Linked DNA regions of Saccharomyces cerevisiae S288C. Changing the gene in region 1 together with any one later gene gives a genetic interaction. Each region holds a gene or a part of one and is shown in the gene's direction. Other genes may lie near its edges.

Region 1 (4,051 bases):
AATAAAGAAAAATTCTATGAAGATATCAGCGACAAAAGTAAACAGTGGTGCCTGTGGGGTACATTCCCCAGAAATGAGAGATATTATCACAAATAATATGTTATATAGTCTTTTTATTTATGTATCCTAAAATCTCGTCAAAGCGCACTTTTATATGCTTAAACCTGGCAATGTGGAACTCTTGATGTTTGAATCGATGCCTGGGATTTCTTGACGCGGTTTCTTGTTGATGAATCCATTCATGTTTGGTAACGCATGTGGTTCAAGTGTAGCTGGTGGTGGCGGGGCCGCACCGAATTCACTCTTCTCTCTCACAGCATTGATGTCGTTATTGATGCCAAAAAACCATCCATTTATCTTCTTATTGTTATAAGTTGGATCATCATATGCATTAGGATCAATTGGCCTCGCTCTAGTCCAAAATCTTATGGTTCTATCCTTAGCTGCTGTGGCAAATATATGTCCTACTGGATTATATGATAACGAGGTGATACACTTATCATGGGCGTATGGAATAGTCAAAATAGGTTCGTTTAGATTTTGTAAAAGATCAAAATGCTTTAGCGAGCCGTCATAGCACGCCAGAGTGAACATAGATTCATTTATTGGGTGCCATTCTAGTGTCATATAATCCGTTTCATCTCTTACACACATTAGTTCCTTCATACTGTATCTAATGTCGAACACACGACACGATTTATCTTTTGAAATCGCCATTAATAGATTTCCCTTGGTGGGTTGAAATCGCGTCTTCAAGACAGTATGTTTGAACTTCAGAATTGATGATATGCAGTTTCCGGAACGCGGATCCCACAGTTTTACTAAATTGTCCTTAGATGCGGAGGCAATTAACCCCATCTCGGGATGCCAATCACAACTTTTCACGTCCCAGTGGTGCCCCGATAATACTCTTTCTTGTTTGCCATTGCTGAAGTTCCAAATCTTCAAGATATTATCATCTGAACAGGTAACAAATTTCGAGTCGTTACTACTGAATGCCATATCCCTAATACTTTCCGTGTGTGCAGCATCAATTTCTTTAACCATACTAAAGTTTGGTTGCCATATCTTAATCATTCCATCTGCGTCCCCACTAATCATCCAATCACTGTCGTGAGAATATTTCATTGTAGTCACAGCCGAATCATGTGCTTGCATGAGGGTTTCAAACGTAAACGAAGATGCGTTCCATAGAGAAAATTCTCCGCTATAAGTTGCTACTACAAGTCTTCTGCCTTCTGGGGTCCATTGGATGGCGGGTATCACATGTTTCACTTTATTCGAGCTTAAATGCGTAAATTTGCTGGGCAAATTTATGACTCGATCTCGACCTCTGTAGGCATTAGGCGGCATTATATCTATTGTGTATGAAGTTTCTGGCTCTACCACTAGGTTCGGTAATCCATGTCGTCTGTTGTAATATAGGTTAATATACGGAGAACTCACGTCTACCGATCGTCTCTGTGTCACATATTTCTTCAGAGGTGGTTGTTGTGACTGCTGAATTTGATTCTGATTCTGGTACTGGTTCTGATTATGCCCGTCCATAACGTGTCTATGTTGAGCTTCTTAATATCTACCCAGCAACCTGTATATCAGTGCTTTCTTTAATTATACTTCCCTTGACAAATCGATACGTCGGCCCTCAAAAGAAGAGGAAAAAAAATAGAAAAAAAAATAGAAAATAAAAATGTCAGTAATTCTAATGATGACACAAATTCAAATAGCAACATTGAATACTGTTTAACAGAACAATTAACCACTTTTAATTAGAAATACTAACAAAGAATTTGTTAACGTATTCTTAGGAAGTAAAGTACTTCAATTATTGCTAGAAATGACTGCTCAGATTCCGTATCAACATAGCTCGGGATACATCTCTCATTTTCACAATAATGAGCTTGATGCAGGCAGGGGAAGGGATTATAATGTAACCATTAAGTATCTAGATGATAAAGAAGAAAATATAGAAGGCCAAGCAGCAAAGATTAGTCACAATGCGAGTCTGCATATTCCCGTTTTATTGTGCTTGGTAATCTCGCTTGGTGGCTTTATTTTTGGATGGGACATTGGAACCATCGGTGGAATGACAAATATGGTTAGCTTTCAAGAAAAATTTGGCACAACTAATATTATCCATGACGATGAAACAATTTTTGTATCTACTAAGAAACTTACTGATCTGCAAATAGGCCTAATTATCAGTATTTTTAACATCAGTTGTGGCGTAGGGGCTTTAACTCTGTCAAAAATCGGTGATTGGATTGGTAGGAAAGGTGGTATATGGTTTGCCTTAGTAGTGTACTGCATCGGTATAACCATTCAAATTCTCTCCTATGGAAGGTGGTATTTTTTGACATTGGGAAGAGCCGTAACGGGAATCGGTGTGGGAGTAACCACTGTCTTGGTGCCAATGTTTCTCTCCGAGAATTCTCCACTAAAAATCAGAGGCTCCATGGTATCTACGTATCAATTGATTGTAACATTTGGCATACTAATGGGAAACATTTTAAATTTCATATGCGAAAGATGTTATAAAGATCCTACACAAAATATAGCCTGGCAATTGCCATTGTTCTTGGGATACATTTGGGCAATTATAATTGGAATGTCACTTGTTTACGTTCCTGAATCTCCACAGTACTTGGCAAAAATCAAAAATGATGTGCCCTCTGCTAAATACTCTTTTGCGAGGATGAATGGCATCCCTGCGACGGATAGCATGGTAATTGAATTCATCGATGATTTGCTGGAAAATAACTATAATAATGAGGAAACTAACAACGAATCAAAAAAGCAAAGCTTAGTTAAAAGAAACACATTTGAATTTATTATGGGAAAGCCAAAGTTATGGTTGAGACTGATTATTGGTATGATGATAATGGCATTTCAACAGCTGTCCGGAATAAATTATTTCTTTTATTACGGAACGTCTGTTTTCAAAGGTGTCGGGATTAAGGATCCTTATATTACTTCAATCATACTGTCAAGTGTTAACTTCCTTTCTACGATATTAGGCATATATTACGTGGAGAAATGGGGCCACAAGACATGTTTATTATATGGTTCAACAAATTTATTATTTTATATGATGACATATGCTACTGTGGGGACATTTGGAAGAGAAACGGACTTCTCAAATATTGTTTTAATTATCGTGACTTGTTGTTTTATTTTTTGGTTTGCAATAACATTGGGCCCAGTTACATTTGTACTAGTGTCCGAATTGTTCCCTCTAAGAACGAGGGCCATATCAATGGCTATTTGCACATTTATCAATTGGATGTTCAATTTCTTAATATCACTTTTAACACCAATGATTGTATCCAAAATTGATTTCAAACTAGGATACATATTTGCTGCTTGCCTATTAGCGTTGATAATATTCAGTTGGATACTAGTTCCTGAAACGAGGAAAAAGAATGAGCAAGAGATCAATAAAATATTTGAACCGGAGTAGATATTACATAATATAAATAGAAGAAGTAGCAAAGTGCAGTTTTTTTTTCCATAATAAATAACCATCAGTAACTAAGTGGCCGTGAGGACTGACCACATTTTCTTTACATACAGTAAAGTAAATAAATCTATCAAATATTTTGATTATTACTTTTAGATAAAACCCTTCTCTATTAGAAAATCTCTTATTATATCCCAGTACCCATCTTGAATAATAGTATCATTGTGTGAACCAAGTGGAAATTCGAAAATCTTTTTGTTCGAACTAGGACATGTTTCGTACAGTTTCCTCATGTGGAAGGGTGGAACGATTTCATCTTTTAATCCACTTAAAAACAAGAATGGCGTCTCTGAACTACAGCTTCCCATAAGGCCTTCTGAATTCCAGATTTCGTGACATAAAAGCGTAAAGCGTTTCAAAAGGGGGAAAATATATGGGATAACTTTTCGAATACTCAAAAATGTATTCTCCAGTATAACGCCATCGCATAGATCCCGAAATTTTGAAGCAATGTAAAGAGCATTAGCACCACCTAGAGATCTACCATACAATACTAGTTTTCTCTTTGAATGGAAAGAATCCGTTGACAAA
Region 2 (3,536 bases), on another chromosome or scaffold:
TTTTTCTTGGGTGTGATGCAAAAATCGCTGATAGGAATTATAATAAAGGAATATATATATATATATATATATATATATATATATATAGGTACTAATTGGCTTTTCTTATACGCCTCCTATTGATTCACTGCCGAAAGTGCCCTGTTATATACGACAATCATACGCCTGTTTGCAAATAGTCAACATATTCAACTCGGAAGGTAAAAGATGAAAAGGCAATTTTTTTGATTTTCTAAGAAAATGCGCAGCGGGCAGAAGGGTCTTCGCAGGCAACTGAGTAAAGAATATGAGAAAAGCCTCTAAATGTTGAACCCTGAAAAAGTTTCATCTATTTTTGATAAAGACTTTTCAATAGTGCAGGATCACGCAAGAAAAAAAAAGGTCCTTAAGAGCAATTGTGGGAAAATATAATACAATGCTTGCGTTAAAACTTCTAGTTACCTTTTACAACCGAAAGTAAACACTAGCATGGGCTTGGAGACGAGCAGCGCAAATTATATAGTTTGAGATAGAACGCTTTCTCCGGTATTGCCTGGGGAAAAGGAGTCACATGATTAGAATCGGCGAAATTTTTTTTCCAAAATTAACAGCAGGGTTGTCTGGATGTTTTATTGAAAATAGAAGCCAATGACAAACACAAGAGGCCAGTAGTATATTAATTTTAATGTGCATTCTAAAGCATCCTCACGTCTTTCAATCTGAAGTTACTGTTCGAGAAGGAGAAGAAAAGAAGGAAAAATGAAGGATATGAATAATAACATGAGTACTAGTTACGTCCAATCTGGTCACACCATATATTGATGCATCTTATGCGCCATAACTTCTTTTTTTGTAGCTATAATTTGTTGCCAGAAAAATGAAAACTTTTCAAAATCAACCAGTTTCCAATTTTTCTGCAACTCGTTATTTATGAAGATAGATGATGATTGACCCCCTTTCTCCAAAAATCGATGCAGCATTGGGTTATTTTTTGAGCTTTCTAATTATAGGGCCATTTTCTAGCAAGACTGTATAGCACATGCTCGCAAAGAACATGGCGTAATGTTCATAAGAAACAAATTTTGTAAGTTTCTTGTGCCTTTTGAGTTTGAAATCATTGACCAGAACAATGAGAACTCTAAACACGACAAATGGATCTTAAATCAATTTTCTTGAAAACATCTTCCAGTTTCGATATTCGCACATTTGCCGGTAAAATAGTGCAATCTGCCTATACCTTTAAAATGGGATCTTGAACGCGTACCTGAAGGTTTTTTTAAATAAGGCCGAACCTAAATGTTGCCTTCAAAATTAACCTGTATCAAATTTTGAAGCCGAAGTTGGTATCCTCACATTGTCTAACCTCATGGTCTCCTAAAGTCCGGCGATCACTTTCCGTTGCGTGACTATTGATGATCAGACTGTCAACAATGTCGTTCCGGGCCTCCATAGCTTGAAGAATTTTCGTTGACGGAACTAGAGGAATGGCAGATGGAGATGACCTTAGTTTCATGTCGCCTTGATAGTTATCAAAGAGTACAGAAACAAGACGTCTCTTGCTCAATAATAAGGATTGGATCAGGTGCTTACAAATTTTATTCGTCATACAAACAATTACTAATATTTTTTTAATATTAAGCGTACCCCTATTTGATTGGCTCTCTTCTAAATTCATACGTTTTAAAATCCGCTTTCAACCGTCAACATAAAATTAGTAAGCAGACCTCGTTCCAAGACCCAACTAAGTTGCACTAAATATCCTCGAACAAATTGGGGGCAGATTTTTGAACCATATAAAAGTCATGACAATATTTCCAGATCAAGGACAGTTGCAGTTCTTCCTTTCATCGGCCAGCTGACGAATTGACTGAGCGGCTTTGTATTTCACTAGAATACACTTCCTATAGCTACAAAATATTATTCAATAATATTAGTGAATTATTTAAACCTCTACCTGAACCACCTACCGAGTTGGGACGTCTCAGGGTTCTTTCTAAAACTGCCGGCATAAGAGTTTCACCGCTAATTCTGGGAGGAGCTTCAATCGGCGATGCATGGTCAGGCTTTATGGGCTCTATGAATAAGGAACAGGCTTTTGAACTTCTTGATGCTTTTTATGAAGCAGGAGGTAATTGCATTGATACTGCAAACAGTTACCAAAATGAAGAGTCAGAGATTTGGATAGGTGAATGGATGAAATCAAGAAAGTTGCGTGACCAAATTGTAATTGCCACCAAGTTTACCGGAGATTATAAGAAGTATGAAGTAGGTGGCGGTAAAAGTGCCAACTATTGTGGTAATCACAAGCATAGTTTACATGTGAGTGTGAGGGATTCTCTCCGCAAATTGCAAACTGATTGGATTGATATACTTTACGTTCACTGGTGGGATTATATGAGTTCAATCGAAGAAGTTATGGATAGTTTGCATATTTTAGTTCAGCAGGGCAAAGTCCTCTATTTGGGTGTGTCTGATACACCTGCTTGGGTTGTTTCTGCGGCAAACTACTACGCCACATCTCATGGGAAAACTCCTTTTAGTATCTATCAAGGTAAATGGAATGTGTTGAACAGGGACTTTGAGCGCGATATCATTCCAATGGCCAGACATTTTGGTATGGCTCTAGCCCCATGGGATGTTATGGGAGGTGGAAGATTTCAGAGTAAAAAAGCAATGGAGGAACGGAAGAAGAATGGAGAGGGTCTGCGTACTGTTTCGGGTACTTCTAAACAGACGGATAAAGAGGTTAAGATCAGTGAAGCATTGGCCAAGGTTGCTGAGGAACATGGCACTGAGTCTGTTACTGCTATTGCTATTGCCTATGTTCGCTCTAAGGCGAAAAATGTTTTCCCATTGGTTGGTGGAAGGAAAATTGAACACCTCAAACAGAACATTGAGGCTTTAAGTATCAAACTGACACCAGAACAGATAGAATACTTAGAAAGTATTATTCCTTTTGATGTTGGTTTTCCTACTAATTTTATCGGTGATGATCCGGCTGTTACCAAGAAGGCTTCACTTCTCACGGCAATGTCTGCGCAGATTTCCTTCGATTAATCAGATTTCTTTTTTGGTGCGTTTGTGTAAGAAATATGTCCTTATATATTCCACGCTATCTACTTTTATACTTTTGAATAAGCCGCACCTAAAAACAGTCTTTATCCCTCACCTAATTCAGGCGTAAATTGTGCAGGTTACAGCATTTGAAGTGGTAAATCGAGGCAACACAAGACTTTCGATACTTGGAGGCAAGTACGATAATTACAAGGGAAAAGAAGCTGTAATAAAAGGCTCATAAATAATATCTTAATAGTAAATATCTAAATATCAGGGAGGAAAAAAAACCTAATGGGAAATCATAAACAAGTCGTAGAGGAAGGCTACGCTCGAGGAGTGACGAAGTGCGTTTAAGCTGGAAGAGCCAATCTCTTGAAAGTACCTTCCTGTCTGCATTTTTCTTGATGAATAGCCATCAATCTTTGGGCTTCCAAAGGATCAGAAACCTCTTCTGGTTCTGGCCAGGACAGGTATTCATTAGTGTAGTTCGAGACATAGTC

Evidence for each region.
Region 2: mutations in HXT14 (region 1) and AAD4 together harm fitness more than expected from each alone (negative genetic interaction), as found in Saccharomyces cerevisiae (one large-scale study listed by BioGRID).

What each region holds. Positions count from the first base shown.
Region 1 is NC_001146.8:38,116-42,166, reverse strand, and holds HXT14 (Hxt14p), read left to right. Parts: upstream 1-1,837; coding exon 1,838-3,460; downstream 3,461-4,051. Other genes in the region: prephenate dehydratase PHA2, read left to right, coding at 1-96; cleavage polyadenylation factor subunit PFS2, read right to left, coding at 151-1,548; YNL320W (uncharacterized protein), read right to left, coding at 3,613-4,051. UniProt on the Saccharomyces cerevisiae protein: Probable glucose transporter.
Region 2 is NC_001136.10:17,077-20,612, reverse strand, and holds AAD4 (putative aryl-alcohol dehydrogenase), read left to right. Parts: upstream 1-2,046; coding exon 2,047-3,036; downstream 3,037-3,536. Other genes in the region: YDL242W (uncharacterized protein), read right to left, coding at 1,301-1,654; THI13 (4-amino-5-hydroxymethyl-2-methylpyrimidine phosphate synthase), read right to left, coding at 3,387-3,536.